4 linked regions of the Arabidopsis thaliana genome follow. The protein of the gene in region 4 purifies or fractionates together with the protein of the main gene of each other region. This does not show direct contact. Each region holds a gene or a part of one and is shown on either strand. Other genes may lie near its edges.

Region 1 (6,280 bases), on a different chromosome or scaffold from region 4:
AGTCAAACTTATTTTAGTCAAAAAAAAAAAAAACTAAACAATTTAGGAGTTTTTTATTTTTCTTCTTTTGAAGTTATTTTTGATTTGGTTATTGTGTATGATATTATAATTCATATAATTATTACGGTTATATTTCATAATTAGTTTAATCGTGTATGTTCAACTTTTTTAATTGAACTAGATTATTAGTTAAACTAAATCGAATTACGATTGGTTAGACTGTTAGATTTTTATTAAATCAAATTTAACTTGAAAATAAATCAAAATCTTCACTCTTCATTTTGATTAAACTAAACAAAAAATAAACTAAACAATTTAGGAGTTTTTTCTTTTTTCTTTTTTGAAGTTTTTTATTGATTTGGTCATTTTGCATGATATTATAATTATTACGGTTATATTTCATAATTAGTTTAATCGTGTATGTCCAACTTTTTTAATTGAACTAGATTATTAGTTAAACTAAACCGAACTACATTTGGTTAGACTATTAGATTTTTATTATATCAAACTTAACTTGAAAATAAATCAAAATCCTCACTCTCGATTAACAATAAACGTTTTCCCTTTCTTCCCCTTCTTGCGCTTGTTCTTTTCAAGCTTCTTCTCCTTCATCAACTTTTCAATAAACTCATCGTTCTTTTTCTCAAACTCTCTCAGAAGTTTCTTAAGTTGCTGCTTGTCGTTTGCCAGTTTCCTTAAATCTGCAGTAGTTAGTTTGATTTTACTTCCAAACTTGATTCACAGAGAAATAAGCTTCCTTATGTCATTCTCCACGTCATCCTCCTCCTCCTCTTTCTTCTTGTCCTTCTTCTTCTCCTTGAGATCCCAGATAATGCCAACTTCTTCTTCAAGGATTTTTGTATCAAAGTAGTCATTTTCGTTACCAGGTGCAGAAACAGTCCACTTGGAGTAGTTGATAAGGTCACGTTCAAGGTTAAAGTGATGAATGGCATATGTGTATGCAACAGACACAGATCCATCCTTTTCCCATGAGACATGAGCCTCTTCTTTCTCCTTCTCCACAAGAACCTTTTCAACTCCCTCTTCTTTCCCTTGAGCTTCAAGTCCCTCTTTCCTCTCCTGAACCACACGTTGAACTCCTTTGGCCACTAAAGGATGCCAAAAATCCTCGAAAAGGAATCGAGGCTTTGGAGCCTAAGAGAGTATCTCTTTGTGAATAGTTTTAACAAGCACAGTGTAAAAATTTTCTTCCTTGACATTTTTTCTTCTGGTAATGAGAAATAAGATAAAAATTTGGAGAAAAAGAGGATGAAGCAGAAGAAGAAGTATGTAAAAAGAGTAGTTATAGGTGGTTAAACTTAAAGCTATCATTGTTGTCGTCTTGTATGGGGGAGGAACACTCAAAATCGTTTCACAGAGACTTGCAGGAGGTTTCTTATTTTATGAGGACAAGAGGTGAGAAGTAGAGGAAGCCCAAAGTTGGTTATTTTCCTTTTCAAGATTTTTCAACAATTAATAAGAAATATTATATGAACGTATCTTTAAATCAATTAATTATTAGCATTTGTTTTCATAAACCTTATAAGGCATCCCCTTGTTCTCCAAAACAATTACTGTCATCCTCTTTCTAAGTGAAAATTATATTTTTTTTTATCGTCTCTAAGTTGTTTAAGGGGTTAAAATACTAATTACAAAAACACAATCTAAAACATAAATAATAAATACGTTTATCTCTTACATATTTTTGCTGAGATTTTTTTATTAGAAGTATAAAGATTTTTGGGGAAATTTGATACTAAGGATCTTTTTTAGAACTAAAAAGGAAAACAAAAATATTTTACAAAATGATATATTTCGATATATAAAGTTTTAATGCAGTAATGAAACTCAAAATGATTGATAACACTTTCTAATACTTTTATGTTGCAAAAACAAAATCATGGTGCAAAATCCACTACTTTTATGTTGTAGTATATTTCTAGAAGAAATTTGGTTTCATGGTATATATTGGGTATTAAATAAAGATTGGACTATCTTCCCTTTGGCTTTGGTGTGTCATAGATAGTGATAAGAAATACCTCTTTTTTTGGGCATTATTTGTTGACAAACGATATAGAAAATTATAAACAAAATAAAGATCATTGGAAAAACATCATTTGACCAAAGATGTGTATATGTGTCCCAATCAGAAAGTTCATAACAAGTTCCTCTCTTCTCTTCTCAATTCTTATGCATCCACATCATCATTGATTTAATGCTTTTAAAAACAGAACATTACATTTATTTTTTTAAAAATGTATTACTTTTTGGACAATACAAGTTTGATACATATAACGGATTTCGCAAAATATTTCATGTTCTTTTTGCAAACAAATAATCCCCAAAAAAAACTAAAGGAAAAGAAATTCGTAAAGACCAAACTCGTAATAAAGAGTATATACTGTTTCCCCTTAAAAAAAAAAACCAACCTAAAATTAAAACCCGTGGGTTTAAGGATTTGATCTTTTAATGTTCACAAAATCGAGACCCTAAATTGCTCTCACACTCACTTCCCAATCTTCTTAGTTCAATTTCAATTTTTAGAATTAGAATCTCTGAATCCCAGATTCCGGTAGAGAAGATGAGTTTCGCGGCCTATAAGATGATGCATTGGCCTACCGGCGTCGAGAACTGTGCTTCCGGCTATATCACCCACTCTCTCTCCGATTCAACGCTACAGATTCCGATTGTTTCCGTTCATGATGATATTGAAGCTGAGTGGCCTAATCCTAAACGAGGTATTGGTCCTTTGCCCAACGTCGTTATAACCGCCGCAAATATCCTTGAGGTGTACATCGTTAGGGCTCAAGAGGAAGGGAATACTCAGGAGCTGAGGAATCCGAAGCTTGCTAAGCGTGGTGGAGTTATGGATGGTGTCTATGGTGTTTCTCTCGAGCTCGTGTGCCATTATAGGTACGTGTTTGTTGACAATTACCTCCTAAATTACTCCAATTTTGGTACTTTGACTTTGAAGTGACGATGTGATTGGTATTGGATTGTAGGTTGCACGGTAATGTTGAGTCAATTGCGGTTCTTCCTATGGGAGGTGGTAATTCTTCTAAGGGAAGAGATTCGATTATATTGACATTTCGCGACGCCAAAATTTCAGTTCTTGAGTTTGATGATTCAATTCACAGCCTTAGGATGACGTAAGAGTGTTTTGCTTTTGTTGGTTTTGGTAAATAAATAAATGAATTCAGCTTTAGTTTCAGCTCTGTCTCCTCTCAATTGTTTCTTTTGACCTATATACGAGATGTTCTGTGTCCAACTATTGTTTTAACTGTTTTATACTTCTCAAAGTTTTGGTCTTTACTTACGCATTGTTATTGTTTCTAGCGATGCAAGTTACGTAGTATTGGATCATATACTGAAGCGTTCTATTGTCTATGTCTGATTGTTTCTTCTAGTTATCTAATTTATGTACCATTGACTCCTATACATGACTTCAACAAATAATAATGGATATGTGGTTCCTTTTCAGTTCGATGCATTGTTTTGAGGGTCCAGATTGGCTTCATCTGAAAAGAGGAAGAGAGTCTTTTCCAAGAGGCCCTTTGGTAAAAGTGGATCCTCAAGGCAGATGTGGCGGCGTTCTTGTTTATGGTTTGCAGATGATCATACTCAAGACTTCCCAGGTTTTTGTTTTGGCATTATTAATCAACTTCATCTTAACTGTCGCTTTATCTGCTACAAATTTCCAACCTTCATTCTTTTCTTTTATGAACTTTATTTTGGGTTTTAGGTTGGTTCTGGACTAGTTGGAGATGATGATGCGTTCAGTTCTGGAGGGACAGTTTCTGCTCGAGTTGAATCATCTTACATAATTAACTTGCGTGATCTGGAAATGAAACACGTCAAAGATTTTGTTTTTCTACATGGTAGGTTTAGCAAGCAAGGTTTCTTCATAAACTTATCTCTGAATCAGTAGTTAATCATAAATATATTATGATGATTGTTTCTTAGCTGCTCAACTTGCATCGAATCTTGTGTCCTTGAATGGATCTAGCTTACTAAGTTGTTGTTTGTAGATTCAATACGACAACTGATGTATTCTGGTCATGATTACAGTTTGAAACAAGAGGAAATGTATTGTTTCTTTGATTTTTCAATAACTAGCTGTCTGAAATTTTAGATATTCTAGTTTTCCCAGTAGGCATAAAGAATAAACTAAGTGGTGCTTCTTTTGATTATGTGTTTTTGCATCCTGTGTCTTCTTCAGGTTATATTGAGCCTGTAATTGTCATCCTTCAGGAAGAAGAGCATACTTGGGCTGGGCGAGTTTCATGGAAGCACCATACTTGCGTGCTTTCTGCCCTTAGTATCAATTCGACATTAAAACAACACCCAGTCATCTGGTCAGCTATTGTATGTTCGTATTTTCCTCTTTGTATCTTATAATAGATCTCTTCCCAAGAAATTAAATATTTGAGTTGCACTATTAACTATATTGTAAGCTAAGGGTAGAAATTGAAGTCATCTAAAAGGTTATTGAATATCCACTGTTGTTACATGACTAGACTTTCCAATCAGCTATGACGATGCTCTATTTTTTGTTTAGAATGCTCAAAGAGTTGATCTTTCTTTAGGAAAAATTTCCTAAAATAACAAGCTATTTCATGACTGAAATAGTTACTTCGGCAAACGTTAGTCCCTGATCATACTTATTCCCATTCTTTTGGTATTTTCCAGAATCTGCCCCATGATGCCTACAAACTACTTGCAGTACCATCTCCGATCGGAGGTGTTCTTGTGTTGTGTGCAAATACAATCCATTATCATAGTCAGGTAGTTTTATATTACTTAGCTTTTGGTTGTTTCTTGTTTAAAATTCAACAATTCCAGCCACTCCACCTCAAAGTTCTACAGTTACTCACACATCTGGATACCATATATATTTGTAGTCAGCCTCCTGTGCTCTGGCACTGAACAATTATGCCTCCTCAGCTGATAGCAGGTACAGTTTTCTCGCACCTCCCCACTCTTCAAAACCTGCTTCATGCTTATGGATATAATCTTGTTACCTCAGTCTTAGTTTAGAATCCTAAAGCTTAGAATCAACTTTCAACATTTGTAAAACTCTGTTTATACTGTTAACCACATTTCTATCTCTGTGTGCGTCTGATTTCTTTCAGTCAAGAACTGCCTGCATCAAATTTCAGTGTGGAGCTTGATGCTGCCCATGGAACCTGGATATCGAACGATGTGGCCCTATTGTCGACAAAATCTGGGGAATTGTTGCTGCTGACTCTTATATATGATGGGCGGTAGTATTTTGATCTTCTTTAAAAAAAAATCTTCTGACGCTTGTAAAGCTGGCTGCAACTTATTTTGTTTAAAATATGTGAAACTGACTGCTACTTTCTTTTTTGAAGTGCTGTACAGAGACTTGATCTTTCCAAATCAAAAGCCTCTGTGCTTGCTTCGGTTAGTCAATATGTTCTTTCAGCATATTTGTACTTCAATTTGGATCCTGTTCGATTAGAGATTCCCTATGATGATATACCAAATTTCTTGCAGGACATTACTAGTGTTGGAAATTCCCTTTTCTTTTTAGGTAGCCGGTTGGGAGACAGTTTACTGGTGCAATTTTCCTGTAGATCTGGGCCTGCAGCATCATTACCTGGCTTGAGAGATGAGGTGATAGTTTAATCTTTCTTAGGCTGGTCAGAGTAACTTCTTTTTAAAATTGTTAATCCAGAACTTGAAAATTTCCTAAATTTATGCAGGATGAAGACATTGAAGGTGAGGGTCATCAAGCAAAACGTTTGAGGATGACTTCTGATACTTTCCAAGATACAATTGGAAATGAGGAGCTTTCATTGTTTGGTTCAACTCCAAATAACTCTGATTCAGCACAGGTAACAAGTTCTGTCTTGGTTAGAGTTTCGTAGAATTTTCTGTTGAGGTTCAATCTTGGAAAAATTAGATGGCTCTACTATATGAATTGGGGTTCCGTTGCAGAACATTCTCCATCTTCCTATCTATGTGTGCTTTCAATTGCAAACATTCAGTCTAAAAAAATTAATGTTGAACGGAAAATGACTTCATTAGTTTAACTACCGAAGAAAGACTTTTCCTTTGTGCAACATGTATTGTATCAATAAGAGTTAGGTAGCTTATGTTCTCCTTTCCATGAAGTTTCTCATATTTTCTTTTCCAATAAATGCAGAAATCGTTTTCATTTGCAGTGAGAGATTCACTAGTTAATGTTGGCCCAGTGAAAGATTTTGCGTATGGCTTAAGGATTAATGCTGATGCAAACGCCACTGGGGTTTCCAAA
Region 2 (9,114 bases), on a different chromosome or scaffold from region 4:
CATGGGTAACTGCTTGGAATAGGCTACACACTCGGGACAGGTTAAGAAGTTGGGGGCTCCTTGTTCATGCTGAGTGTGTTCTGTGTAACTTGGTCGATGAAACTCGGGACCATCTCTTCTTTGCTTGTAGGTTCAGCTCAAGAATTTGGACCTTCTTTATGAGGGCGGTTGGATTTTCGCCGCCTCCTCAGTTCATGAATTGCTTGCTGTGGCTTAATTCGGCTACAAGGGACAAGAATCTAATGCTCATTATCAAGCTTCTCTTCCAAGCTTCTGTCTACTTTATTTGGAAAGAGCGTAATGCTCGTATTCAATTTGAAATCAGGCGGCCTTCTCATCTTATCACTAAGGAAATTCAGATGGTGATAAGGGCTCGGTTGGATCCTCTCTCTCGCTCCCGCGCTCCTGGGAGATCCGGACTCTCGCTTTTGGGTTCTTGGTTTTCTCTCTTCCTCAATAGAGATCCTCCTCAAGTCTGATGCTTTCTCCTTGTGCAGGTTTTCAAAGGGTCGGGCTTTGGTGTTCTAGCTCCTTCGCCGTCTGCTGTGGTGGCTTGGGTCTTCTGGGCTTCTGCCTTTGATCTAGCCTTTTAAACTTGTATTTGGTTGTTTTTTGTTCTTTCAGGCCTGCGTGCTGTGTTGGCCTTTTGGCTTTGTATTGCAACTTTTTTTGGTTAATTGGAAATTTATGAAAAAAAAAAAAAAAAAAAAAAAAGTTTGTCGGGTTAACGAAAACTAGAGTATTTGACATGTGAAGCCACTAAAACTTCGTAACTTGTTCACATTAAGTATCAAAACTAGAGTATTATGACTGTGGTCACTTAACATAAAATATATGAATTTAATTATTAAAAATACAAAAAAGACATGTGCCATAAATCATAGTATTTCATCAATACTTTCTCCACATGGAAGTTGTTACTATGCTCAAATATTTTACGGGTGCAAAAAATTCTAATACAAATTATTTGCATATTGGAACAGAACAAAAACCTTTTTTTTTTATGTTTTGTTTTATAGAAACGAAATTTGAATCCCATATAATAGTTTTACTTCAATCGTTTTATCCCGCAGACAGTGCGGTTGTAAACTAATGTACTAATACAACGGCTGCCTACTGATGTTGCTGATTGTTGTTTGGTGGAGGGCCAGGAGGTAAAGGTGGCTGCTGCTGCTGCACGAAATAAAATATAGACAACGGATTAGTCAACGGATTATGCTATTTTAGCTCTACATTTTCAACATCTAATCATACCATTGAACCTAGCTAGTGAGTTTAAAACTAGCTGAGAAAGTTGTATTGTGGTTCAATCGTATCAGGTGTTTTGCATTGTTGTGTAGACATTTTGCCTATTTGCACATATATACATGTGAAACCTTTACGGGTATACTAAATAACAAAAGACTAGTGTTTAAATGGGACCTGTTGGAAAGGGTTGTTGTAGCCTGGAATCATCTGTGGACGGTTGAAACCACCACGTCCTTGGGGATACATTTGGGGTCCGCCACTGTTTGGTTGTCCTTGAAATACTCCTGAAGGAGCACCCATAAAATGACTTTGCGACATCTGAGGATTCATGCCACCTTGCATTCCCTACTCCAACAACAAGTGAGGATTAATATCTCTTTCTACACCTCTCTAAGATATCACTAAGAAAATAAAACAAAGAGGAATCCAACACATGGGGTACCGACAAAAGCCAGGCTTAAGTTGTGGTTGAATTACAAGAGATCTGAGGGCCATACCATTGATCCAGGCATCTGATGAGACATAGGCATTGAGGGAGGTGGCATGTGACCGTGAGGAGGCATTTGCATAGGCCGGGGAAGATGATGAGGGTGCAATGGCATATGAGATGATGGTGGTAGCTGATGGTGAGGCATATTGGGCATTGGAAGCATTTGCTGGGGATGACCTTGGTGTTGTTGTTGTTGCTGATACCCTTGCTGCTGGCCACTTCCAAGAAGCGATGGGTGGGGACCAGGTGGCAAAGGAGGAGCCCCCAGTGCCATGGAACCTGGAAGAGGCTGTTTATGATCCCCTTGAGAGGATGCATCAAATGGCATTGCTATTCCTATTCCTGGGATAGTCCCCTCGTTCCGTGTCAACCCAGGCACAAATGCTCCAGGGATTGGCGATGCCTCAGATGGTTGGAAATTATCAGGTTGGCGACCAAAACCTTGTTCATTATAGCCTGATACAAATTACGCTTATCAGTACACACAAATCACATCTTCAATTTGTTAGTAAACACTAAATAAAAAACACTAATTTCTGACAAATGCAACTTGAAAGTACATGCTCAAAATTAAAACAGTAAGTGAGATACTAATGACCGAGTACTTGGGTCTGAGTTTTTAAAGCCTGTAGAAATCTGCACCTATATCAGATCAGCTCAGCTTGACCAGTCAAGTCTGTTCTTTTCTACAAAAAAATTCAGTTAATCACGGTGCCATATGGCTGGCCGAGCCTGAACCTTAAAAAGCCAAGGTCCATTTCGAACCAGCCATTATAGGAGTATATGACTGACCCTGCCAGGGCCTGACCAGTTAAGCCTATCACAACATCCTTACTACTGAGATGGATAAGGACATAGTAATTATGTACTACCCACAACCTATCCATCCCAATGCCTACTAAAAAATCAGATACTAATAGCCCAAAAACAAACCTTGGTTCTGCATAAGAACATCTCGGGGATTATCTGCAGGCCTGTTTCTGCACCAAAACTTGGTTGTGTGATCATTGCTACCACTGCAGATAATAGGGTTAAAAATCATTATCTGAAGCATTTAGTTATTCAAGAGCACAGGGAACCACAACACATCATAGAATAAAACTGTAAGGAACTCATAGCACCAGACTATTGAAATTGCTACCTGCAAAGAAGATATCCAATAGGATGCCATGCAAGATCCCAAACACTGTTATCATGAGCATTTGGGATTTCAATCTGCGGGTTTTCATGCCTGGGAATTAAGAAAAGTTTTCATAATTAGATACACCTCAAACAAAAACCACAAAATATAAGGTAAAGTAAGATGCTACTAGACTACTAGTATGTAGATGCATCATGACTGAATATAAAATGTAGAGAAGAAACATGATTTAAAAAACCCTTATAAGTGATTAAAACAATAGCAGCATGAACGAATAAATAAAACAGCATACTGCTGCACAACAGTACCTACCCCACAATCCAATGACAAATGGAGCCGTCAGAGCTCCCACTGACAAAATATTCTTCATGGCAGGGATGCCACGCCAAAGCTTAAAAAGAGTTAAGACAACTTTTAATTAGAAATAGTTGCAAATTAGAAATATCGAAGAAACAAATTGAAAACTCGCATCCATGGGATAATGTCTCATATGTCGACAAGTAAAGCATGGGTACAATGATAATCTTTCAAAGGCATATACTCTAGAGTCCTAGTCAATGTACAGAAAAGTAATTTGATGCGGCCAGTTTGTCTGATTTCACGTGTTTAAAACATGATCATTATAGAATTTGACAGCTTACATGTTACATCTTTCGTGTGCCCACGAAAGGATTGAAGCTCCTTCATAGTCCTTATATCATACAGCTGCAGATTACATGCATAAGTGTCATACAAATGCTTCCATAATGCAAGGAAAAAATCTCATTTACAAATCAATATCCCCCCCCCCCCCCCCCACCCAAAAGAAAGTGAGACTTACCTTAATTATCTGATCTTTCGAGGCCGTTAAAAGCCAATTGCCATTTTGGTTCCACTTCACGCTAAGTACTATGTTTTTGTGACCATGGCTGCAGAAGTAAGAATAGGCCATCAAATTCGTCAAAGCTTTGAACATGAAACTATAATAAAATTACATATTACATTATGTACTACTTACAGTGAGCAAAGCTCTCTCCCAGATCTAGTATCCCAGAGTTTGACAAGTTGGTCTTTTCCACCTGACAACACAGATTAAAGCGGTTAATGATCAGCCATAGAGAAGCTCTGAAATATACAGCGGTTTCTTTTTATTGCATTATTCAAATAGAAGTCTATAAAATAATGTACCAGAAACTAGTAGGGACTTTGTGGGGTGCCAGTCAACGCTCTTGACATCCCAACCATGGCCTGCCTGAGTTCAAAATATAAAGAACCCTTTGATTACTTCGAAAGTTCTCAAATATTACAAATATGAAGAAAACTGTGAAAACATGCCTCCAAAAGGATAGGAAACTTGTTATAAGCACCAATTTGGAACCTTTAAAACTAACTAACGTTACATGGCATGACACCAAAGCGAATCTCAATGACACCTTTTCCTATGTAGCCTAAGAATCCAATTCTAATAACGTACAGCACATCTCAAGCGGCCTTCTAAATTCAAATTAGAAGAGCAAGCAACAAAGAAATAAAGTATCTGCCGCCAATCTGTTCAAATAACATTACCGGTTAATGAGCTTTCATCTACGCACTTGGTAAAATCCCAGACTTTAACAGTCGTATCATCAGAACACGAACAGAACTTCAAATCTGTTTTACAAAAACTGTTGGATACACATTGTTCAGTTTTGAGAGATTCATTTAATGCAATTCAACATATCAAACTTTTTTTTACCTTAAATCGCGAATTGATTCCTTGTGAGCAGTTTTATTGGCTTTCACATTGTTCATATTGTTCTGCCAATACCTGATACATAAGAAACAATTGATCCTTATTGTCACAGCATTTGAATCATAGAATTCTGAGCTTCTCGTTTACAACATCATAAGTTAGGGACTGAAAGGGAAAAACAAATTTACTTTAATGTGCCTCCATCATCACCAGAAACCATATAATTTTCATTGTGGCTCCATACCATCGACCTAATAGGTTGATCATGTGCCTGATATTGACAACAAATTTAAACAGTCAATACCAGGAGCAGCAACTATAGAAGAATCAAAACAGAAGTTTCAACAGATTAGTTATACAATCTGAGAAACGAACCTGAAGAATCATTTCAAAATTAAAAGATTGCCCATTCCAAAGAGTAAACTCCCCACTTTGGGAGCCCGTGATAAGACGTCTTCCTGAAGGTGTCCACTAAATAAAAGAAACCCAATCAGCAATGATCCCATTAAGTTGGCATAATAGAGTTAAAACAAAGAAAGAAAGATGTTGCTTTCTTGAATAGATAAACATGGCAAACAGAGAATAATACAAAACACACAGCTGGTAGAGGGATATACCAATACACGGTTGATTGAACAACGGTTCTTGTTTAGAGATGCGTGAACAAACTTTGCAGCAAAGCTTGTTGAAGGATTATCCGAATAGGCAACTGTGGGAAGCATCTGAAGCATTGATATAAAAGTTAGATCAGTAAACCATTCAATCTTATTGCAAAACCCAGAAAAGCAAAGAAATCTAACATCAACTGCTGCAGCTGGGGTTGGTTGCAGAGTGGTCCTATCCCTTGAGTCTCGCTGCCATGTTCGAGCCTGAACAAAAACATATATGGAGTAAACACTCTCTACTTTTAGTTCCATATAAAGTATGAGTTCGTTGAACTACATATCCATATCAGTTCCATGACATAAAGACAATCCTATCTAATGGCTTTTGAGATAAAAAGGACCGAAGAATTCAACTGGGGAAAGCAGAGGCTATGAGTATATAGACCAAGACTAAAACTTTACAGAAAACAAGAGAAATATAATCAAGCAGTACAAAAGGTTCTAACAAAGAAATACTGTGAGCAGCAATGGGAATACATTACCTGAATATATCTAACAACGGTGCTGGTGTAATCAACAGCTCTTCTCTGTGTATGCTTTCTCATTCGTTTCGCCCCAAAACTGTCTACATTGGCTGCAACATCAGACAGAGAGACATTAAATCTCACAGTCATCACTAATCCGATAAAAGGAAGACGCTCAAAGTCTACTTACGGTCGAAGGGGCCAGATGGGTGGTGGTAGTCGGGATTGATGTTAGTGGAAGAAGCTGACGACTGCCGCATCATCGGTGGTTGTGGCATCTGTGAACCCCTGTGCATATCGCCGCCGGCGTACATTGTTGCCCACGGAGAACAGTGATTTATTCGAATCGAAGGGAAACTGCGAAAGTGTTCGAATTTAGGTTACCTTGAAACGAGCGTGGATCTCTCTTTAGGGTGTGCGTGTATCAAATTCGCGAATTGATGACAACCCAAGAGCAGAGAAGTACAATGGGTAGAGAAATGATGAGAAGTCGATAATGGAGTGAAGAGTAGAAATAAATCTTAGGGTTTTTTTTTCTTCCTTCTCGGCAAGCCAAACCCTCGATCGCCGGTCGGTTTTAACCGATAAGATTAATAAAATCATCAAACTAATCAAGAAGTCGATTGGTTTAGCTTTTTTAATCTCCACGATTTTTTTATTTTTTTTTTTATTTTTTTTTTTTTGGGTGTATGTTGTTACTTGGCCTACCCTATCAATTAGACACATATGTTCAGGCTGAACTATGTATTGCGAGTAGGAAATAACGGATGAGTTTGTTTAGTAAACCCATCCGTCGGCCTTCCGGTTGATCAACAAGCTCGAGGAGTGTATCTTAAGCAACTAACCGCGAGATGGCATGAAAAAGATCTGAAGAACTGTTGAGATCAACGAGATTCTAGGGTGGATACTGCGGATCGGGCAGGACACGTGAAGGACGACTATAAAAGAAAGAGGAAGAAGAATGAATAGAGGCATCGCCATTAACATTAAGAAAATCCTAGTATTGTATTCACATCGAACTCTAATGTCCCAAAGTGTGGTTTTTTCTAGTATTGTTGTTGTTTTACTGCTTATTTCACAATCATGACAGAGTGTGTGTATGAATTGTAGATGAAAACACACACATAATTCACGTATTCATAGTGGAACATATTGAATAAATATTCAACCCAAAGATAGTGGTGATGCAAATTAGTCTTTTTTTTTAAAACATTAAAATAACTAAATATTTGAAAGAGTTAAAAGTAAAAGAAAAAAAAACTGACACTAGTAAAACGAATTACAAAAATTCAGAAAATGTTACAATCTTTTTTTTTTTGGTTTAATGTTAAATTAAATGTTATAATCTTGTCATATTAGAACTTAAAATCTCCCAAATAACAAAAAAAAAAAAAAATCGATATACGTTATTCCAAACAAGATTCACTACATCCCAATGGCAATGCTATATGAAACACAATCCCAATCCGCTATTATATTCCACTACGAAACTTAATCATGTTAAAACCCTGTTTTGCACTTATAGAGTATAAATAGACTATGTTAACAGGTTTCAACATTTTTTTTTTTTTGGTTTAATGTTAAGATTTATACCAAATGAAAAAAGGTTTACATAGTACAATGAAACCCCAAAAACACACCGAGCTCTTGTGAAGAGAGACTAATGGAACACCATACATACATAAATATGAGCTTTGCCACACCTATAGTGGGGTACTAATACAACCAAAGTAGAATCCAAGGAGAGAGATAGTGGTAACTGATTCCTCCGGCGAGAAGGAGATGAGACGGTTACGCATTGTGCGATCAACGAGAATTTTTGTAGCGGAGAGAGAGGTAGCATCTGCTGAGAAATCTCTGCGGTTGCGCTCTTTCCAAATCATATAAACAGCGGTTTGAAGAAGAAGTTTTAAGATCTTACTTGCATAGTGCGGCGGAGAAGAATGTACACCAAGAACCCACATAGAAGCCAAGGGTAAAGAGAGTGGAGGATTCGGCGAAATCCTTCCAGCGAGCGAAATCCAAAGTGATCTAGAAAACTCACATTTGAAGAACAAGTGATCATGGGAATCAAGGCCAGAATCACACAGAACACAAGAACCATGTACATTCATACCCCACTGTAAAAGCCTATCTCTCGTTGTCAACCTTTCATGGGAAGCCATCCAAAGGATAAATGAAAACCTTGGGACAGATTCCTTAAACCAGACAGCTTTATGCCAAGCCACATGAGGAGAAATTTGTCTAATTTGCATCCAAGTTCCTTTCGAAGAGAATGTTTCAGAAAAAGTACCTGTGGGCTGCTTCCATTGGTACCAATCAGCACCTCTTAAAGGAGAAGGCGGGGCAACCGAGGACAAGCAAATCTGCAACTGCTCAGCTTGGTGAGATCTCGCATTGGGAAAATGCCATTGACCTTCATGTGTAGCTTCCCAAACGCTAGCATTTCTACTGATCCGAAGCTCTCTTGGGCCCAACTGACCAAAAAGCTCAATAAGGGGACCAAGGCTTGTCCAATAATCAAACCAGAAAGAGGCTTTCATACCGTCTCGCATCTGACATTTAATCAATCTCTGGAACACAGATTTTACTTCCAACATCTTCCTAATGTTCCAAGATAGACGTGGTGTGCTATCCATCAACCAATAGTTCCTTCTTCCGAAGATGTTATGGTCCAACCACATAACCCACAATGAGCCCCTTCTAGTAAAGAGGTGCCAAACCTGTTTCAACCTGAAAACAGTAGCAAATTCCTCAAGAGATCGAATACCTAACCCACCCTCCTCTTTTGTCTTACAAATGTCCTTCCAAGCAACTCTTGCACCTCTTGCAGACGAAGTAGTATTTTTCCACAAAAAAGCAGAGCAGAGATTGTCAATTTTCTTATAAAAACCCTTTGGTAGAACAAAGACTTGACTCCAGAAGTTCACTTTCCCATAAACAACAGATACTATTAACCGGATTTTCCCAGCATAAGAGAGAAACTTGGTTGTCCAGGAGTTAAGCTGCTCGGTAATCTTTTGAATAAAAGGTTGAAGTGTGGCAAGAGAAAGCTTAGTCGGGTTCAGCGGCAAGCCAAGATACCGAGAGGGAAAAACACCTATTCGAATCCCAATCAAGTCAGCAATAACAGCAGCTTCAGAATCCCCATAACCTCCAAAAAACAGCTCAGACTTTGAAGGGTTCATGTCCAAACCGGAAAAGGAATGGAAAGTTTGCAGTATACCACTAATACCAAGGAGAGAGTGCTGAGAACCATCTGAGAAAACCAATAAATCATCTGCGAAAGCTAGATGAGTTAGGCGAGGAGTGATACACAAAGGATGAGCAGAAAACTTGCCCTCCAACAGCCCACTGTCCAACATTCTGGATAACACCTCCATTACCAAAATAAA
Region 3 (9,504 bases), on a different chromosome or scaffold from region 4:
GAAACAAGCGGAGGAGAGAAAGACACGTAGACAACTAGAACCATAGCCGCTGTTAGATCGAGGAGCCGAGTCGTCGTCTTCATTGTTACAGTTTTGGACGCTTCAATGGTGAAAGAAGGAGACTGGGAATGAAAACGGCGTCGTTGAGTTCTATGCCTGTTGTATCAAAGGAAAATAATTGATTTGGGGATTTAAGAGGGAAATGGAAAGGTTTATAGTATTTATAGATAATAAAGATTTTGTGGAAAGTAATTCATTTGGAGAAGAAAGGGAAAGGAGAGGTCAAGTTGGCAAAGAGGTAAGAGAAAGAGAGAGATTTATGATATTGATAGGCACAAAGAAGTTTTTGCCATCTTACAATTTGTTTTCCTTTCTATGAAAAAGATTGATTGTTGTTACCAATTGTTAGAAATCTCTTATCATCTTTAAAAAAAAAACTCATATCATATCTATGCATAAATATGTATGTATAATTCACCACATGGAGAGACTCACTTATTTTTCATGTGTATGTGTGTAAAGAGAGACATATCTGACCCAAAAAAATAATCTTTGATTTGTTATTGTTTACATTAATTTATTTATTAGAAATATAAAGTCCACATGATATTTTCTTCCTTAAGAACTTTAGCTTTAAAAATAGATGAAATTTTTCTGTTGAGCTAAAAGATTCATTTCCCTCTATACATTCAGATTTCTATTTTCGTTTAGTAAATATTTCCTTGTAATTCTACTGTGGTCCACCATTGTAAATTCATTGTTTATGTTTTTGTAAGAATTTTCAATCTGTAAATGTATTGAAATCCAATTTCTGTATTGGTATTAAAAACAAATTTCAGTGACAGCCACAGGCTCACAAAAACAGTTCTACACTACTACTTATCAGTTTCACACGAGAGCTAAGTTTAGTTATGTGCAGTAGACAGCATAGGGCGTAGATAAGGCCAAAAAACAAAAAACAAATGATTAAAAAAAAGTTTTTTTTTTTGCAAGAATAACCATATTTTGATACTTTCTTTTTATTTATTTATAAAAAATGTATTGTATTTTTAGATATTTTTCTAAGTATGGAGATGGGTCTTGATGGGTGGGTCACCAGCTGATGAATTAGAATCGAAAATCACATTCTTAGGTGTCTTTTGGTTTAGGTTCACCGAATCTTCTTAATCTATCTTTAAAGAACCAAAAAAAAACACACACAAACAATTGTCTTCAATCTCTCTGGTCATTTTTCTTATGAAAACAAGTATAATAATTACATTTATTTACACTCTTTAACTAATCAACCTATTATTACCTAACTACAACTTTCATATTCATATCAAGAAAGAAAGGTTTGATAGTTAGTTATGGTTGTTATCCTTAGCCATTATGATTTTGGTTTGGTCCTCACGGGTCCTCCTTCACCAAATGCATATGTTTTTTTTTTTTTTTTTTTTTTTTTTGTGTTGCCTTTGAAGTGAAGCTATCACAATTTTGAATCAAAATGTTGTTTGGCTTTCTAACGTGCATCAATAAAATCAGGAAGAACTTATCATTCGTCACAATCAACATACCAGCTACTTGTTTCTTATTGTCCATCATATTCCTAACAAATGATATATATAGTTCATCTCGAACTATTGAATTATTAAGTATTACGCAACACACCTATGTCAAATGATCTGAACTTCGATACTATATCAGAATTCAAATACGTTTAATTCAAAATTAACTGAAAGTGAATTCATTCATTAATATCTCTTATTTCATAGAAGAGATTTCCAACATTTTTTTACCATTGTAGTGATCTTTTAGTTGCAACATTTACTAATTAGTGATAAGAGAGCACACATGTGGGAGAATTAGGCACGTGTGAAGAGCTAAAGAGAAGCATGAGAAGAATAAAAGAGTATAAATAGGGATATTAGAGAGGAATTATAGAGATTATCCTGCGTGATCATTGATGTTGTGAGGAGAATTAGGGCTTGTGTGCTATGTTCTTGATGATAAGAGATGAGCATTGTAACTCCGATCTTATCAATATAGGGTTTTGATTCATTGTAATTGGGATTTACGGATAATAAATACAAAGGTTTATGCGTAAGTTCTTATCAACTTGTAATGGTCTTCTGGTTGCACCATATGCTCATAGATCTAGTGTATTTGGTACAACTGCTTAAAAGTTTTTGATTTACTCTAGTATATTTAACGGAGATTTGCCTATTTTTCCTTAAGGGTGTGTTTAATGTTTTCATGTTGAAACAATGAATGAAGTTTCATGTAATTTTAAATGAATGAGCAATCATAATGAAACCGATCTACTTTGAAGTTTGAACATACAATAGAATTGACTCATATGCTTATAATGGACTCACCATCTATGTTTCACTGCTACCACAACATTTTTTGGTAAAAGATTCACTAATCCCTCTTTGTGTTGGTTAAAAAATCAAGGTAAAGAGAGAAAAAATTTCAAAGATTATATGTACCAAATGAACAATTTGAAAAGAAAAGGGTTATTTTAGAAGTAAAAGGAAATATATGGACCGGGGAGGTTATTATTACAGAATTAAAAAACCCTCTTTCACGGTGGCTTCTTCTTCTTTAGTTCATCGGAGAAATTTTAGGGTTTATATCGGCGAACGGAAAAGATGGGTACTTCGGTGCAAGTGACTCCTCTCTGCGGAGTTTACAACGAGAATCCTCTCTCCTACTTAGTCTCCATTGATGGTTTCAACTTCCTCATCGACTGTGGTTGGAACGATCTCTTCGACACATCGCTCCTCGAACCTCTCTCCAGGTTTCTCTATCCTTATTATCTACATTTCCAGAATTCACCAATCTAATTTGTTTTGAATTCGATTCTTCTGGTTTACAGGGTTGCTTCTACTATAGATGCAGTTTTGCTTTCTCATCCAGATACACTTCACATTGGTGCTCTTCCTTATGCTATGAAGCAGCTTGGACTCTCCGCTCCTGTTTATGCTACTGAGCCTGTTCATAGATTAGGTCTCCTTACAATGTATGATCAGTTTTTGTCCAGGAAGGTGAGATTTTGTTAACTACTGGAGTGGTTATTTTTGCGCAATTGTCTGCATTGTAACACGATGATCTTACTGTTGCAGCAAGTATCCGACTTTGATCTGTTTACACTGGATGACATAGATTCTGCTTTCCAGAATGTGATCAGATTGACTTACTCTCAAAATTACCATCTTTCTGGTATGTGGTTTTAGTGATTTCTAGGCTCTATAGCAAACTAGAAACAATTGACACTTATCTCAAGCAAGTTTGATCTGCATTATCTATGATCTCATATCGGGAAGGAGTTCTTTGACACACATTGAGTATTTGGTTGTTGAAACCTAAGTTATGACTTCAAAGATTGTTAGGATGTCTCAAGGTTTTATCGTTGCCCTATCAGGAAAGGGAGAGGGTATTGTAATTGCTCCTCATGTTGCTGGACACATGCTGGGAGGTAGCATCTGGAGGATAACAAAGGATGGGGAGGATGTTATATATGCTGTTGACTACAATCATCGGAAAGAAAGGTACATATGTTCAGATTTTATCTTATTTGAAGTTCGAGTAATGTTCATAACAGTAAGTAAAGATGTGGACTCGTGATACTGAATTGTATATCTTAATTCAGGCATTTGAATGGAACTGTTTTACAGTCTTTTGTTCGGCCTGCTGTTCTGATAACCGATGCATATCATGCTCTTTATACCAATCAAACCGCAAGACAGCAAAGGGACAAAGAATTTCTAGGTTAGCTTGTAGCCCAATATGTGTTGTGTATCTTCTATAGTATTTAAAACAGCCCGCTTCTAACTGCCAGAAACATGTGTGCATGTCCCCATTTATCATTCAGATACCATTTCAAAACATCTTGAAGTTGGAGGAAATGTTCTATTGCCAGTAGACACTGCGGGTCGTGTCCTGGAACTTCTCTTGATACTTGAACAGGTAATAGAACCGCTTTGAATGTATCATGCTCTTAGTTAATGTTCAGCTGTTTTTTAAAGACTGGATATTGATCAAACCTGCAGCATTGGTCACAAAGAGGTTTCAGCTTTCCCATTTATTTTCTCACGTACGTGTCATCTAGCACAATTGACTATGTTAAGAGTTTCCTCGAGTGGATGAGTGACTCCATTTCAAAGTCCTTTGAGACTTCACGTGATAATGCCTTTCTATTGAGGTAGATTTTCTTATAAGAATGCCTTATTTGTGCCGTCGTTTGTTTAGAATACAGAAGACATCACATGAAATTTAAACACATGCAGGCATGTCACTCTGTTGATAAACAAGACTGATCTGGATAATGCTCCACCTGGTCCAAAGGTTGTTTATAAAATTATAAGTAACTCATTAGTGTTTGTTAGTACATAGAACGTGGTGGATTTATTATTATTTCCTGTCTTTTCAGCTGATAATAGAACTAGATTTTTTCCTATTATATGTTGTAGTGACTAAATCTCATAATATAGGTTGTTCTTGCTTCCATGGCTAGTCTCGAAGCCGGTTTTGCTCGAGAGATATTCGTGGAGTGGGCAAATGATCCCAGAAATTTAGTCCTCTTTACTGAAACAGGCCAGGTATGTTTTTAGAACCCACATACGTTGAGGAACGAAAATTTATTAGCATTGCTATAAAGACCTGATGGTAGATTCTTTTCCTAGTGCTGATCAGCTAGTTAAGTGGATATATGAGAATCTTTTTTGTCTTCTGATCTGAATAAGAGTTCCCCCATTTATGTGTGGATATTTACCCCCAATATGTACACAATAGGCAGAGATTGAGTACCTTAAAGCAGCATTATAATTACCACCAAAGCCTGGCTTGCTCCTTTAGGATAATCTCCAGAGCTTTCAGTCTTGAATTTATCAATTAGTTACATCCAGTACAAAATAAAGGGTCTTAGTAGACTATCATATTAATGGAATTGACACCACTATGCACAAACTGTCTAATTGGCCATATCATTCATCTCAAATGAACATAATTTTTTTTTGTAACCGCGTACTTTGTTTATTTTTCTTCTAGCGAGACATCATCCTGTTCCCTGAAATATCATACTTTTAATTAAAATTCAATCTAGACAAAAATAAATTTATTCAAATAAATAGTTTGGAAACAAATGGAAGCTTTGGTTAATTATTCACGCTTTTCTCAGTTCTGTGTGACTATGCTTTCTTGTCCATGTCAATCTATCCAGAAAACAGAGCATTACGGAATTATTAAGTTTGAAATACCAGTAACACCGTAAATCCAAGTGAAATTATCGAAGTTCTTCATCCAATTTGTTACCTTTGCCATTGGTCGTGTTCCTTAGTTGCGATGGCGATTATACTTTCCATGTGTCCATTCATAGTTCACGTGATCTAAGATTTGCAAGATGTTTCGGTTTGTAGTCAATCACATAAAACTAAACTGCTGTTAGTTTGATTTTTAATTGTCATTTGCTTCTATTTGCAGTTTGGCACTTTAGCTCGTATGCTTCAGTCAGCCCCACCTCCAAAATTTGTTAAAGTCACCATGTCTAAGAGGGTTCCTTTGGCTGGGGAAGAGTTAATTGCATATGAGGAAGAGCAAAACAGACTGAAAAGGGAAGAAGCTTTGCGAGCTAGCCTCGTTAAAGAGGAGGAAACAAAAGCTTCCCATGGATCCGATGATAATTCAAGTGAACCTATGATCATAGATACCAAGACTACTCACGATGGTAAATTTTTTCTTATTTTATATAACATTTTATTACCCTTGAATATTCTGTGGCCTGTAACTTCTTATTTTTCATGTAAACTTTAACTTAATTGAAGTATCTAGTACTGAAAATGGCTATGCACATAGTACCCTCTGTAATGTACTGGTTAGTTGGTTTTAGGAGGCATTTATGTGGTTATCTTGAGTGACCTAGAAGCTACATTTAGAAGTCTCACAATACATTTCTGGGTAATTTGTTTAGTTTTTCACAGTCCCACAATATGTGTCTGTTTCAATTAGACCTCTGGCTACCGTTGTTGATTGCTCTTCTTTCCACTACATAGTGGTCTGCAACTGACCTTTTACATTTCTGACTACTCTTGCAGTTATTGGTTCTCACGGGCCTGCATATAAAGATATATTGATTGATGGATTTGTTCCCCCATCCAGCAGCGTAGCTCCAATGTTCCCATATTATGATAACACATCTGAATGGGACGACTTTGGGGAGATTATTAATCCAGATGACTATGTGATCAAGGATGAAGACATGGACCGAGGAGCAATGCATGTACGTTCCTTGAATTCTGGTCTTGGTCTTGGTCTTTCTTAGCTCTTGTTATATTTGCAAATTAGACCTCTTAATTTCCATGATGTTTGCATAGTGGTGGTTCCTTTTACGATTTTTGTATCAAGAAGAACAAAGATGTAAGAAATCTGCATGATATGCTCTGAGGATTTGGGATACAGATAGGAAATCTTTTGCCATAAAGTTGCTTAGGCTCTTGATTTGGTATGAGTGCAGTTCTTCAAATGAGTGCACTGGTTCTACAGTTCCATCTTTATATTTTCCTTAACAACTGATTGCTTACTAGTAAAGGTTTAGGGTCATTCTATGTAGAGTCTTGTGTTGCTTATTAAATTTGTGATATAATTTTCCATTTCAGAACGGAGGTGATGTGGACGGAAGGCTTGATGAGGCAACTGCTAGTCTCATGCTTGATACAAGACCTTCGAAAGTCATGTCCAATGAGCTCATTGTAAGTAGACTCTAATTATATCCAAAGAACAATACATTGATAGAGATTTTGTCTCAGTTAATGTCCTCATTTGTTCTCCCTTTCTAGAATCTCTGATTATTGTTATAGACTGCTTATCAATGATAGGCACAAGGAGTAGTCTTCTCACTTAGAAATAGAGAGATAGGAATTCTCATTGACATGGCGTTGTGCCTGTCAAATTTATCTTCATCTGATGATATGCATACAAGAAATTTATTAATTGATCTTCTAATTAGTTATCACGGGAGACCTTGCTAATCAGATCTTTAGCACGATAATTCAACTTACAGATATTTTGTTGTTTGGATTAATCGGTCTAATTTTCTTCTTGTTATTGAACAACTTTTGTGTTCTTACTTTTACCCACTTGATCTTATGTCATGTAGAAGTTTCAGAAGGTTATTCTCAGAACGTAGGCCTTGCCTGCTAAACAAAACAATATGGCTCTTTAGTCTTCTTCTGTCTATACCTAACTGCTGTCTAATTTCCCTGATAAATGATTTAGTTTGTTCTTATGCTTTTGCACAGGTGACTGTTAGTTGTTCACTTGTTAAAATGGACTATGAAGGTCGGTCAGATGGCCGCTCAATCAAGTCAATGATTGCGCATGTTTCTCCTTTAAAACTTGTACGTTTCTCTCTCGTCTTATATATATATAGTGTTAAGCACTGAACTGGAAACTTGCGGTGATCTAATACTATATATCATGTGAAGGTTTTGGTGCACGCGATAGCTGAGGCTACAGAGCATTTGAAGCAACACTGCTTGAACAACATCTGTCCACACGTGTATGCTCCTCAAATAGAGGAAACGGTCGATGTGACTTCTGATTTATGTGCTTACAAGGTAGAAATTACTTAGAATTAGGAAGATCCTTTTTAACTCATGGGTTTTGAGTTGTGTGATTGAATTAACCCTGTATGGTGATACATCAGGTCCAACTTTCTGAAAAGCTGATGAGCAATGTGATCTTCAAGAAGGTACCTTTTATTTCCGTGACTATTTTTTTCTTCTTTTCCGATTTGCAACCAATGTCTCTGAAGAATGATGAAATAATATCAGCTGGGAGATTCAGAAGTAGCTTGGGTGGATTCCGAAGTAGGGAAGACAGAGAGGGACATGAGGTCTCTACTACCGATGCCAGGTGCTGCTTCGCCACACAAACCTGTTCTAGTAGGTGATCTGAAAATCGCAGACTTCAAGCAGTTTCTGTCGAGCAAGGGTGTTCAGGTAGAATTTGCAGGTGGAGGAGCTTTACGTTGTGGTGAATATGTCACTCTACGAAAGGTTGGACCGACGGGTCAAAAGGTAATTCAAAGCAAATACTGCATTTCTTACAACAAATCAGAGAATGACTTATATATGTTGGGGATTGTTCAGGGAGGAGCATCGGGTCCACAGCAAATTCTGATAGAAGGACCGTTGTGTGAAGACTATTACAAAATCAGGGATTATCTCTATTCTCAGTTCTACCTCCTCTGAGCATGATATAGAAAAAAAATGAAGCTTCTTCTCATTTTCTCAACATTTTTCAACCACTCAACATGTAATCTCGTATAGTTTATTGCCTTGCTTATAACCCTCAAATCTTATAGATTAATGTGTTAAAAATGGCAATAGCTTTTTGTAACTTTTTTGTACTTGTCATCTTAGTAGAAGCTTAAGTTGTCATTGGATATATTCCACTCCTATTTCGGTAAAGCGGTAAACTAAAACAGTAAAACGTGATAAACTCTCTTCTTTGTTCCTTGTATGTTCTCTCAAAAGTTTAAAATGAAAGCGAAAACACTTTCCATTCAAGAGCTTTCAACACCTGGTCTTGGCTTCGTGCTGACGTGGCATCTAGCTTTTTTTTTTCACTTGTGAATTAAACCAACCATATGTGTTAAACATGGAAAGATAAATAAAAGCAATTAGGTGGTTAGGTGTGTTAGTGTGAGGCTGATCACTGTCCAACGCTCTCCCTTTGTGCAATATTCTGTAACGAAACCAACCAAAAACACAGAATACATTTGATACAATTACTTTAATTCCAATTAAACCCTAATCCTCCTCTACCATTCTTCTACTGACGATTCTCTTCATATTTTCTTATCCTCTCTTACTCTCTCTACAATCAAACCATGGCTTCTGCGACCGCCACGTGGACACCTACCTCCCTCCAGCTTCGTCTCGCTTTGAGCTCCGGCGTGCGTCGGAAATCTCCCGCCGTTTACTTACGACCATCGCGATTGGCTAGGAAATCGGGTTATGGAATTGTCTGTGTTTCGCAGAAGCCTGAAGTTGATGCGTGGACCGGATCGGATTCGTCAAAGTCGTCGGCTGATAATTTGGCTGGGTGGGATGATTCCGATAACGATGACAAGAAGTCTTCCAGAGTTAAGAAGAAGAGTTTGATTGAAGGTATATGCGGATGAACATCTGTTTTTGGATTCTGATTTTATTTTTCAGTGTGATTCGGAGTTTTCGAGGTTTCGTAAGAACCAGCTGGTGAAATGTTTGATTACACAATGAAGCTAAAACTATATGGCTGCATAGTTTACAAGTGTAATTTGGTAGGAGCCATGAGTGTTGTTTTCTTATGGATGTACTACACATAATCTTTAGATTGAGTTGATGAACCGTATACGCCGATTTGTTTTTGTGGTCAATTGTTATTGAGAGGTTCGCTAAACAGCGCACATACTCAAATGGTACATTGCATGTTACGTTGGAGTTTGGTTAAGTCTCTTTAGCATTTTGATTTCTCTGTTCT
Region 4 (6,904 bases):
CCGATTAAAGGAGATAAAAGACATTTGCTTCGGTTATATTTCTACCCATCAACATACACCGGTCTCAACATTTCCAACTCGTATTTCACTGTGGAAGCTAACGATGTTACCTTACTGAGCAATTTCAGCGCCGCGATTACGTGTCAAGCTTTGACTCAAGCTTATCTGGTTAAAGAATACTCTCTTGCACCCACTGACAAAGATGTTTTGAGCATCAAGTTTACCCCTTCAGATAAATACCGAGACGCATTTGCCTTTATAAACGGTATCGAGGTGATTCAGATGCCGGAATTGTTTGACACGGCGGCTCTTGTTGGTTTCACAGACCAAACAATGGATGCCAAGACTGCGAATCTTCAGTCAATGTTTAGACTTAATGTTGGTGGTCAGGACATCCCTGGAAGCCAAGACTCCGGTGGGTTGACAAGAACTTGGTATAATGATGCACCTTACATCTTTAGTGCGGGTCTTGGTGTTACACTTCAAGCAAGCAACAATTTTAGGATCAACTACCAGAACATGCCGGTGTCTATAGCTCCAGCCGATATATACAAAACCGCAAGATCTCAAGGCCCAAACGGAGATATCAACCTCAAATCCAATCTTACATGGATGTTCCAAATCGATAAGAACTTCACCTACATTTTGAGACTCCATTTCTGCGAATTCCAGCTTTCCAAGATCAACCAGAAGGTTTTCAACATTTACATCAATAACAGAACAGCGCAGGCAGATACTACTCCTGCAGATATAATAGGGTGGACAGGAGAGAAAGGAATCCCGATGTACAAAGACTACGCGATATATGTTGATGCCAACAACGGAGGCGAAGAGATTACACTTCAGATGACTCCATCAACTTTTGGTCAACCGGAATATTATGATTCATCTCTTAACGGGTTAGAGATTTTCAAGATGGACACCATGAAAAATCTTGCGGGTCCAAACCCCGAGCCATCGCCTATGCAAGCTGAGGAAGAGGTTAAAAAAGAATTCAAGAACGAAAAGAGACACGCTTTCATCATTGGTTCGGCCGGAGGAGTTTTAGCGGTTTTAATCGGTGCCTTGTGTTTCACGGCCTACAAGAAGAAACAAGGATATCAAGGAGGCGACTCTCACACATCAAGTTGGCTTCCTATATATGGAAACTCTACCACATCAGGAACCAAATCAACCATCTCAGGGAAGAGCAACAATGGAAGTCACCTATCCAATCTCGCAGCAGGTTTATGCCGTAGATTCTCTTTACCAGAAATCAAACACGGAACACAAAACTTCGATGATTCCAACGTCATTGGAGTTGGAGGGTTTGGTAAAGTCTACAAAGGAGTTATAGACGGCACAACTAAAGTAGCGGTAAAAAAATCAAACCCAAATTCAGAACAAGGACTCAACGAATTCGAGACAGAAATCGAACTCCTCTCAAGACTAAGACACAAACACTTAGTCTCCTTGATAGGATACTGCGACGAGGGAGGAGAAATGTGTCTCGTATACGATTACATGGCATTTGGAACACTCCGTGAGCATCTATACAACACAAAGAAACCACAATTAACTTGGAAACGAAGGCTAGAGATAGCTATTGGAGCAGCAAGAGGATTACATTACCTTCACACAGGAGCAAAGTACACGATTATACACAGAGACGTTAAAACAACTAACATCCTCGTAGATGAGAACTGGGTAGCCAAAGTTTCAGACTTTGGGTTATCCAAAACTGGACCTAACATGAATGGAGGCCATGTAACAACCGTCGTCAAAGGAAGCTTCGGTTATTTAGATCCTGAATACTTCAGAAGACAACAACTGACTGAGAAATCAGACGTTTACTCATTCGGAGTTGTTCTGTTCGAAATCTTATGCGCAAGACCAGCGTTAAACCCGAGTTTGCCTAAGGAACAAGTGAGTCTCGGAGACTGGGCAATGAATTGCAAACGAAAAGGGAATTTAGAGGATATAATCGATCCGAATCTGAAAGGGAAGATCAATGCAGAGTGTTTGAAGAAATTTGCAGACACGGCGGAGAAGTGTCTTAACGATAGTGGATTAGAACGGCCGACAATGGGAGATGTTTTGTGGAATCTCGAATTCGCACTTCAGCTTCAAGAGACTGCTGACGGGACTCGTCATCGGACTCCGAATAATGGAGGAAGCTCTGAGGATCTCGGTAGAGGAGGCATGGCGGTTAACGTCGCCGGTAGAGATGATGTGAGTGATCTCTCCTCAGAGGACAATACCGAAATATTCTCTCAGATTGTAAATCCCAAAGGACGATAAGGTAATTTCGCAATACGTATACTAATTTTGTTTTTCTTCTCTTAATTTTGGTGTTAAAGTTTTTGTTTTTGTGTTAATTGCAGGATTAGAAAAGGAATCTGGGTAACAAAATTTGAAGATGATTTCATTTATATTGAGTGGTATTTTTCAATAAAAACATTTGTAAAATTATATCCCTTTGTGATGTTACATGTAATCAAAAATACATTGTATTAAGATTCGTAGTTAGAATTTTTCTATGGTAAATTTTTGTATTAAGTTATATTTTACTGAGTTTATTAAGCTAGAAACAAATTATTATATTAACCGGAAAACTGTATAGTAGAAAAATGGAAAAGGTTGTTCAGGTCGGTTAACGGCTCAAACCGGGATTAATTCGTTTTCCAATTTTGCCTTAATCGAAAAAATGGAAATTACAGCGATATAAACCTAAAGTAAATTGATTTCGTAAGTCGAATTCACTGTTTCTCCTCAAACACACACACACGTTTGCGAATCTCCGACGTCCGTTTCTCCTCGCCGTAGAATCGCCGTTCATTCTTTCGCCGCCTTCAGTCTTCCCTCCATTGACCCTTTTTTTGGTAATTCGTCTTCTTTTTGCTCTCTCGTTCTCTCTTTTTCGATTTCTGGGTACAGAAATCGATGGCTCTCGTTTTTCTTTCTCTGTTGCTGTTCTATTACTTTCTCTTATATATATATGATTGTTACTCTAGTGATGAATTTTGATACATTGGTTGTTTGAAATTGATCTCTGTTGTGCTTTTATAATTCCGGGGTCAAGATTGGCTGTTTAAATCTAGTAAAGTTTGCATTTTTCTTTTCTGTTTGCAGAGATTAACTTGATTATACTTTTGTTTTTAAGAAGAAGAAGAGCGATTACAAGCGCAAGTGTGTATAATGACTTAAAGAGAGCTCCTGTTACTCCGAGTGATAGATAGTCTACAATTATATCTTACTCTGAGTGAAAGCAATGGCGTACGGTGGTCCGTCCATGAATCCACCGGCTTTGAGTGGAGCTGTTCCCGGGTCTGCTAATCTGAAGCAAGTGAAATTGGAGAGAGAAAGCGAGCTCAGGATCGAAGTCTCTGAAGAGCCTCTCAGACTCCGTGTGGTTAACGGGACCGCTGAGATTTTTGGCTCTGAACTGCCTCCTGAAATATGGCGTACCTTCCCTCCTCGCATGAAATTTGCGGTATGTGTTTTCTTAATCCTTGGTTTTTAGAGCGATCGTAAGCATTATGCTTTATGGCTTATAGATAAAATGTAGCTTGTTGGTAACATATTTGGTGTTGGGTTTGTTGGTAGAAAATAACTAGCCATTCTTGATTTAGTTTCTTTTAGTGGTTATCTTTCTTAAAGTGGGTTCTTGAGTTACTATTGAATTCACCCTCTGGCCTTTTGGGGTTGGAAAGGTACATCCTTTGCCAGTGAAGTTTGAGGGTTTTTGGGTTTGAGTTGGATGAAAGACTTATGATTTAGGTTGTAAATGAAGATTATGCTGTCTAGGTAAGAATTGTTAAGTGGGTTGTATAAAAAGATTGATGATAGATGTGATTTTCCCCCCCAATTTCTTTCTTTTCTATTTTTCCTTCTGCTAATGATTTATGTAAAGTTCATAATCGGAGCTCTGAAACACCGTGCTTACCATCTTGTGCCTTTTGATTATTGTCAGGTTTTCACTTGGTATGGAGCGACAATTGAGATGGATGGTGTCACGGAAACTGACTATACAGCAGATGAGGTTGGATTACTTGTTTCATTCCTACGCTTGCTTTAAATATGTAGAGCAAATTTTGTTTACTAACTACATCTCTGTTTCCAGACGCCGATGGTCAGCTACATTAATGTGCATGCCATACTAGATGCAAGGAGACGTTTTGCCAAAGCTTCCACATCTAATGACCCAGAATCTTCTCAGGTACTTTTCTTCGATATTCAATATTATTGTATTGCAATATCAGCATAGTTAAAACACTTGGTTCTTAAGAATTCACTTAATGCAGGGACCTCGGGTTATTGTAGTAGGGCCTACGGATTCCGGGAAGAGCACATTGACAAAGATGCTCCTTAGTTGGGCAGCTAAACAGGGATGGAGACCTACATTTGTAGACCTTGATGTTGGCCAAGGCTCGATTACAATACCAGGATCTATTGCTGCTGCCCCTATTGAAATGCCACTGGATCCAGTTGAAGGGTTTCCTCTTGATATGGCCCTTGTTTACTACTACGGCCACGCATCACCAAAGTAAGTGATTCTCAAATTTCTCCTACCCATCATACGTTATTCCCCTCGATGAGGAATTTAAATATGTCTACTTTGGCTCTCTCAGTATGAACGTTGAACTGTACAAAGCTCTGGTGAAAGAGCTTGCTCAAGTTCTGGAGAAACAGTTTGTCGGAAACCCTGAATCGCGAGCTGCTGGAATGGTGATCAACACAATGGGATGGATCGAGGGGATTGGTTATGAGGTAAAAGTTAGATCCTTTTTAGCGTATTTTTTGGTATAGTTAGCTCCTTCTTAGTGGATTTCATTATGCAAATGCCTGATAAAGAACTGTATCTGCTTCGTCTTGCAGCTGCTTCTCCACGCAATAGACACATTCAATGCCTCGGTTGTACTTGTATTGGGTCAGGAAAAACTCTTCAGCAGGCTTAAAGATGTGCTGAGAAGTAAGAGTAATGTCGACGTCGTGAAGCTTCACAAGTCTGGTGGAGTTGTAGCCAGGGTCAAAGAGGTCCGTAAAAGATCAAGGAACTTTAAGATTCAGGTAAAATTTTCAATCTCAAATCTTTTAATATCCCTTTTTTCATGCCTTTGGAGGTGTAACTCAGAACTCAAAAACTGAATTTTCCAGGAATATTTTTACGGTTTATCGAAAGAACTCTCTCCGTATGCCAATACATCGAGTTTCAGTGATCTGCAAGTGTTCCGAATTGGTGGTGGACCACAAGCGCCAAAATCGGCTCTTCCAGCCGGGTCTACCTCGGTTTCAAATCCGTTGCGGGTGACGCCTGTAAATATCGATGATCGGGATCTGCTGCATTCTGTTCTTGCTGTCTCATACGCAGAAGAACCAGACCAGATCATCTCAAGGTAATCTCTAAAAGTTCTTGCTGTTTCCAGAATCAAAGGCTTTCGTGTATGTTTTCTTCGTGATTTTGATATTTCTTTCTCTCTGTTTTTTCTTTGATACAGCAATGTTTCTGGGTTTGTGTATGTGACGGAAGTTAATGTGCAGAAGAAGAAGATAACGTATTTAGCACCATCGCCTGGGACATTACCTAGCAAGTTGTTGGTCGCTGGATCATTGGCATGGCTTGAGTCAGTATGACTTACTTAGAGAAGAGAGGAGCCATGTTTTTTGCTTGAGAGAATGATGCAGCAGCTCGATTATGTAACGTTAATTACAAATAGCCTTTTTCTTCTTTATCAAATGCACAAGTTTTTGAGTTTAAAAGATCATTATTGCGGAATAGATGGTTGGTTGTAATTTGATGTTATGAAGTGAGCAAAAAATAATGTTGATTTACTAGTGCGTTAGTTCTGTTTGTTTGGTTCAGCATATTCAAGTGATGTGTGTAGCATTTTTAAATTTGATAGGTCGAACATATCTTATGTTATTGGATGATTTCGAAATAGTATATGATAATGTTCAAAGTCACACATGTATTATTATTGGTTATTAATTCAACTAAATTACTATCACATTTTAAGTCACTTCAATTGTATTGTTGTATAAGCTCTGTATTTAGAATCGGATCCGAAGAATATTAGTTGGTCTGTCTAACCAAGTCGCATTAATCTTATATGATTCTCCTAGAATAGAAAAGAATATTTTATTCTTATGCTAATTCAATTGAAAGATAATTAAAACGGATATGTTTTGAGTTCAAAATGTTAAAATTGTCATTCATTTGCAATAGACAAAACATATTTAGAAAATTCTAAATTTACATGCTACAAGATCTTCTATATGCTTTAATAGCCTCATTTTTTTTTTTAACCCTGCACATTAAATACAGAAAATTTCAATCATTTGACTGATGATTAGAGATTTATAGATATAAGAAGAAAGTTTCACTTATCATTGTGAATATGATAAAACAAGAATAATAAAAATATCGTATAATTAACAACAAGAACAACAAACACAAAAAAAAAAACAGAAAGAAAGAAAACAAAAAAGAGCTAGTCAACAATCGTGATTCGTGATACAACGTGCTAGAGAGACGACCAGATGAGATAGGGCACGTGTCGAAATCTATACCGTTACTTTTCTAACTCCGTGCTCGGAATTCGAAATCAACGGGAGACACGTGGGTTCCACAATGGACGTTATTTCCATTTCATGACAATCGAGAAATAGTTAAATAAAAAATAAAAAATATTTTCTAAAATGAATACAAAATCAATTCGAATTTTGCTTTGGAATTAGAATCATTTTTAAAACATATGAATATAGTAGTACAAGAATTTTACTGAGTCAATGTCCAATTATCATTAAAGATATTTGACTCTAATCCATTCTCTTTCTCTAATTTTTCTTTAAAGATATTATAGTTAATCACATCATTTACTTTAAGAGAAAGATATCCGAAAATCAGAAAATGTTAAGATACATT

The links.
Region 1: the proteins of CLPS3 (region 4) and CPSF160 purify together in Arabidopsis thaliana (affinity purification with western blotting, with the first as the bait; one study listed by BioGRID). This does not show direct contact.
Region 2: the proteins of CLPS3 (region 4) and FY purify together in Arabidopsis thaliana (affinity purification with western blotting, with the first as the bait; one study listed by BioGRID). This does not show direct contact.
Region 3: the proteins of CLPS3 (region 4) and CPSF100 purify together in Arabidopsis thaliana (affinity purification with western blotting, with the first as the bait; one study listed by BioGRID). This does not show direct contact.

The regions. Positions count from the first base shown.
Region 1 is NC_003076.8:20,977,669-20,983,948, forward strand, and holds the start of CPSF160 (cleavage and polyadenylation specificity factor 160), read left to right. Parts: upstream 1-2,336; 5' UTR 2,337-2,581; coding exon 2,582-2,913; intron 2,914-3,002; coding exon 3,003-3,149; intron 3,150-3,481; coding exon 3,482-3,635; intron 3,636-3,742; coding exon 3,743-3,878; intron 3,879-4,219; coding exon 4,220-4,365; intron 4,366-4,689; coding exon 4,690-4,785; intron 4,786-4,901; coding exon 4,902-4,954; intron 4,955-5,132; coding exon 5,133-5,264; intron 5,265-5,372; coding exon 5,373-5,424; intron 5,425-5,517; coding exon 5,518-5,637; intron 5,638-5,726; coding exon 5,727-5,858; intron 5,859-6,169; coding exon 6,170-6,280. Other genes in the region: AT5G51650 (uncharacterized protein), read right to left, coding at 535-732, 775-1,155, 1,540-1,581. UniProt on the Arabidopsis thaliana protein: CPSF plays a key role in pre-mRNA 3'-end formation, recognizing the AAUAAA signal sequence and interacting with poly(A)polymerase and other factors to bring about cleavage and poly(A) addition.
Region 2 is NC_003076.8:4,325,525-4,334,638, forward strand, and holds FY (Transducin/WD40 repeat-like superfamily protein), read right to left. Parts: upstream 6,448-9,114; 5' UTR 6,104-6,447; exon of another isoform or gene 6,034-6,103; coding exon of another isoform or gene 5,998-6,033; coding exon 5,910-5,997; intron 5,830-5,909; coding exon 5,738-5,829; intron 5,529-5,737; coding exon 5,391-5,528; intron 5,313-5,390; coding exon 5,208-5,312; intron 5,062-5,207; coding exon 4,966-5,061; intron 4,862-4,965; coding exon 4,779-4,861; intron 4,666-4,778; coding exon 4,594-4,665; intron 4,523-4,593; coding exon 4,425-4,522; intron 4,107-4,424; coding exon 4,047-4,106; intron 3,938-4,046; coding exon 3,877-3,937; intron 3,788-3,876; coding exon 3,700-3,787; intron 3,585-3,699; coding exon 3,521-3,584; intron 3,271-3,520; coding exon 3,192-3,270; intron 2,970-3,191; coding exon 2,880-2,969; intron 2,755-2,879; coding exon 2,672-2,754; intron 2,195-2,671; coding exon 1,746-2,194; intron 1,594-1,745; coding exon 1,423-1,593; coding exon of another isoform or gene 1,405-1,422; exon of another isoform or gene 1,255-1,404; intron 1,174-1,254; and 4 more.
Region 3 is NC_003076.8:8,049,917-8,059,420, forward strand, and holds CPSF100 (cleavage and polyadenylation specificity factor 100), read left to right. Parts: upstream 1-2,522; 5' UTR 2,523-2,633; coding exon 2,634-2,782; intron 2,783-2,860; coding exon 2,861-3,029; intron 3,030-3,107; coding exon 3,108-3,204; intron 3,205-3,406; coding exon 3,407-3,533; intron 3,534-3,634; coding exon 3,635-3,753; intron 3,754-3,856; coding exon 3,857-3,951; intron 3,952-4,034; coding exon 4,035-4,186; intron 4,187-4,271; coding exon 4,272-4,329; intron 4,330-4,475; coding exon 4,476-4,583; intron 4,584-5,463; coding exon 5,464-5,707; intron 5,708-6,074; coding exon 6,075-6,259; intron 6,260-6,635; coding exon 6,636-6,728; intron 6,729-7,277; coding exon 7,278-7,376; intron 7,377-7,463; coding exon 7,464-7,595; intron 7,596-7,684; coding exon 7,685-7,729; intron 7,730-7,811; coding exon 7,812-8,057; intron 8,058-8,129; coding exon 8,130-8,231; 3' UTR 8,232-8,549; downstream 8,550-9,504. Other genes in the region: AT5G23870 (Pectinacetylesterase family protein), read right to left, coding at 1-83; AT5G23890 (GPI-anchored adhesin-like protein), read left to right, coding at 8,873-9,152. UniProt on the Arabidopsis thaliana protein: CPSF plays a key role in pre-mRNA 3'-end formation, recognizing the AAUAAA signal sequence and interacting with poly(A)polymerase and other factors to bring about cleavage and poly(A) addition. Required for antisense-RNA-mediated gene silencing.
Region 4 is NC_003074.8:1,268,762-1,275,665, reverse strand, and holds CLPS3 (CLP-similar protein 3), read left to right. Parts: upstream 1-2,661; 5' UTR 2,662-2,861; exon of another isoform or gene 2,862-3,142; 5' UTR 3,143-3,250; coding exon 3,251-3,472; intron 3,473-3,952; coding exon 3,953-4,021; intron 4,022-4,102; coding exon 4,103-4,198; intron 4,199-4,283; coding exon 4,284-4,525; intron 4,526-4,610; coding exon 4,611-4,749; intron 4,750-4,857; coding exon 4,858-5,049; intron 5,050-5,136; coding exon 5,137-5,375; intron 5,376-5,477; coding exon 5,478-5,613; 3' UTR 5,614-5,905; downstream 5,906-6,904. Other genes in the region: ANX1 (Malectin/receptor-like protein kinase family protein), read left to right, coding at 1-2,280. UniProt on the Arabidopsis thaliana protein: Required for endonucleolytic cleavage during polyadenylation-dependent pre-mRNA 3'-end formation. Functions in gametophyte, embryo and postembryotic development.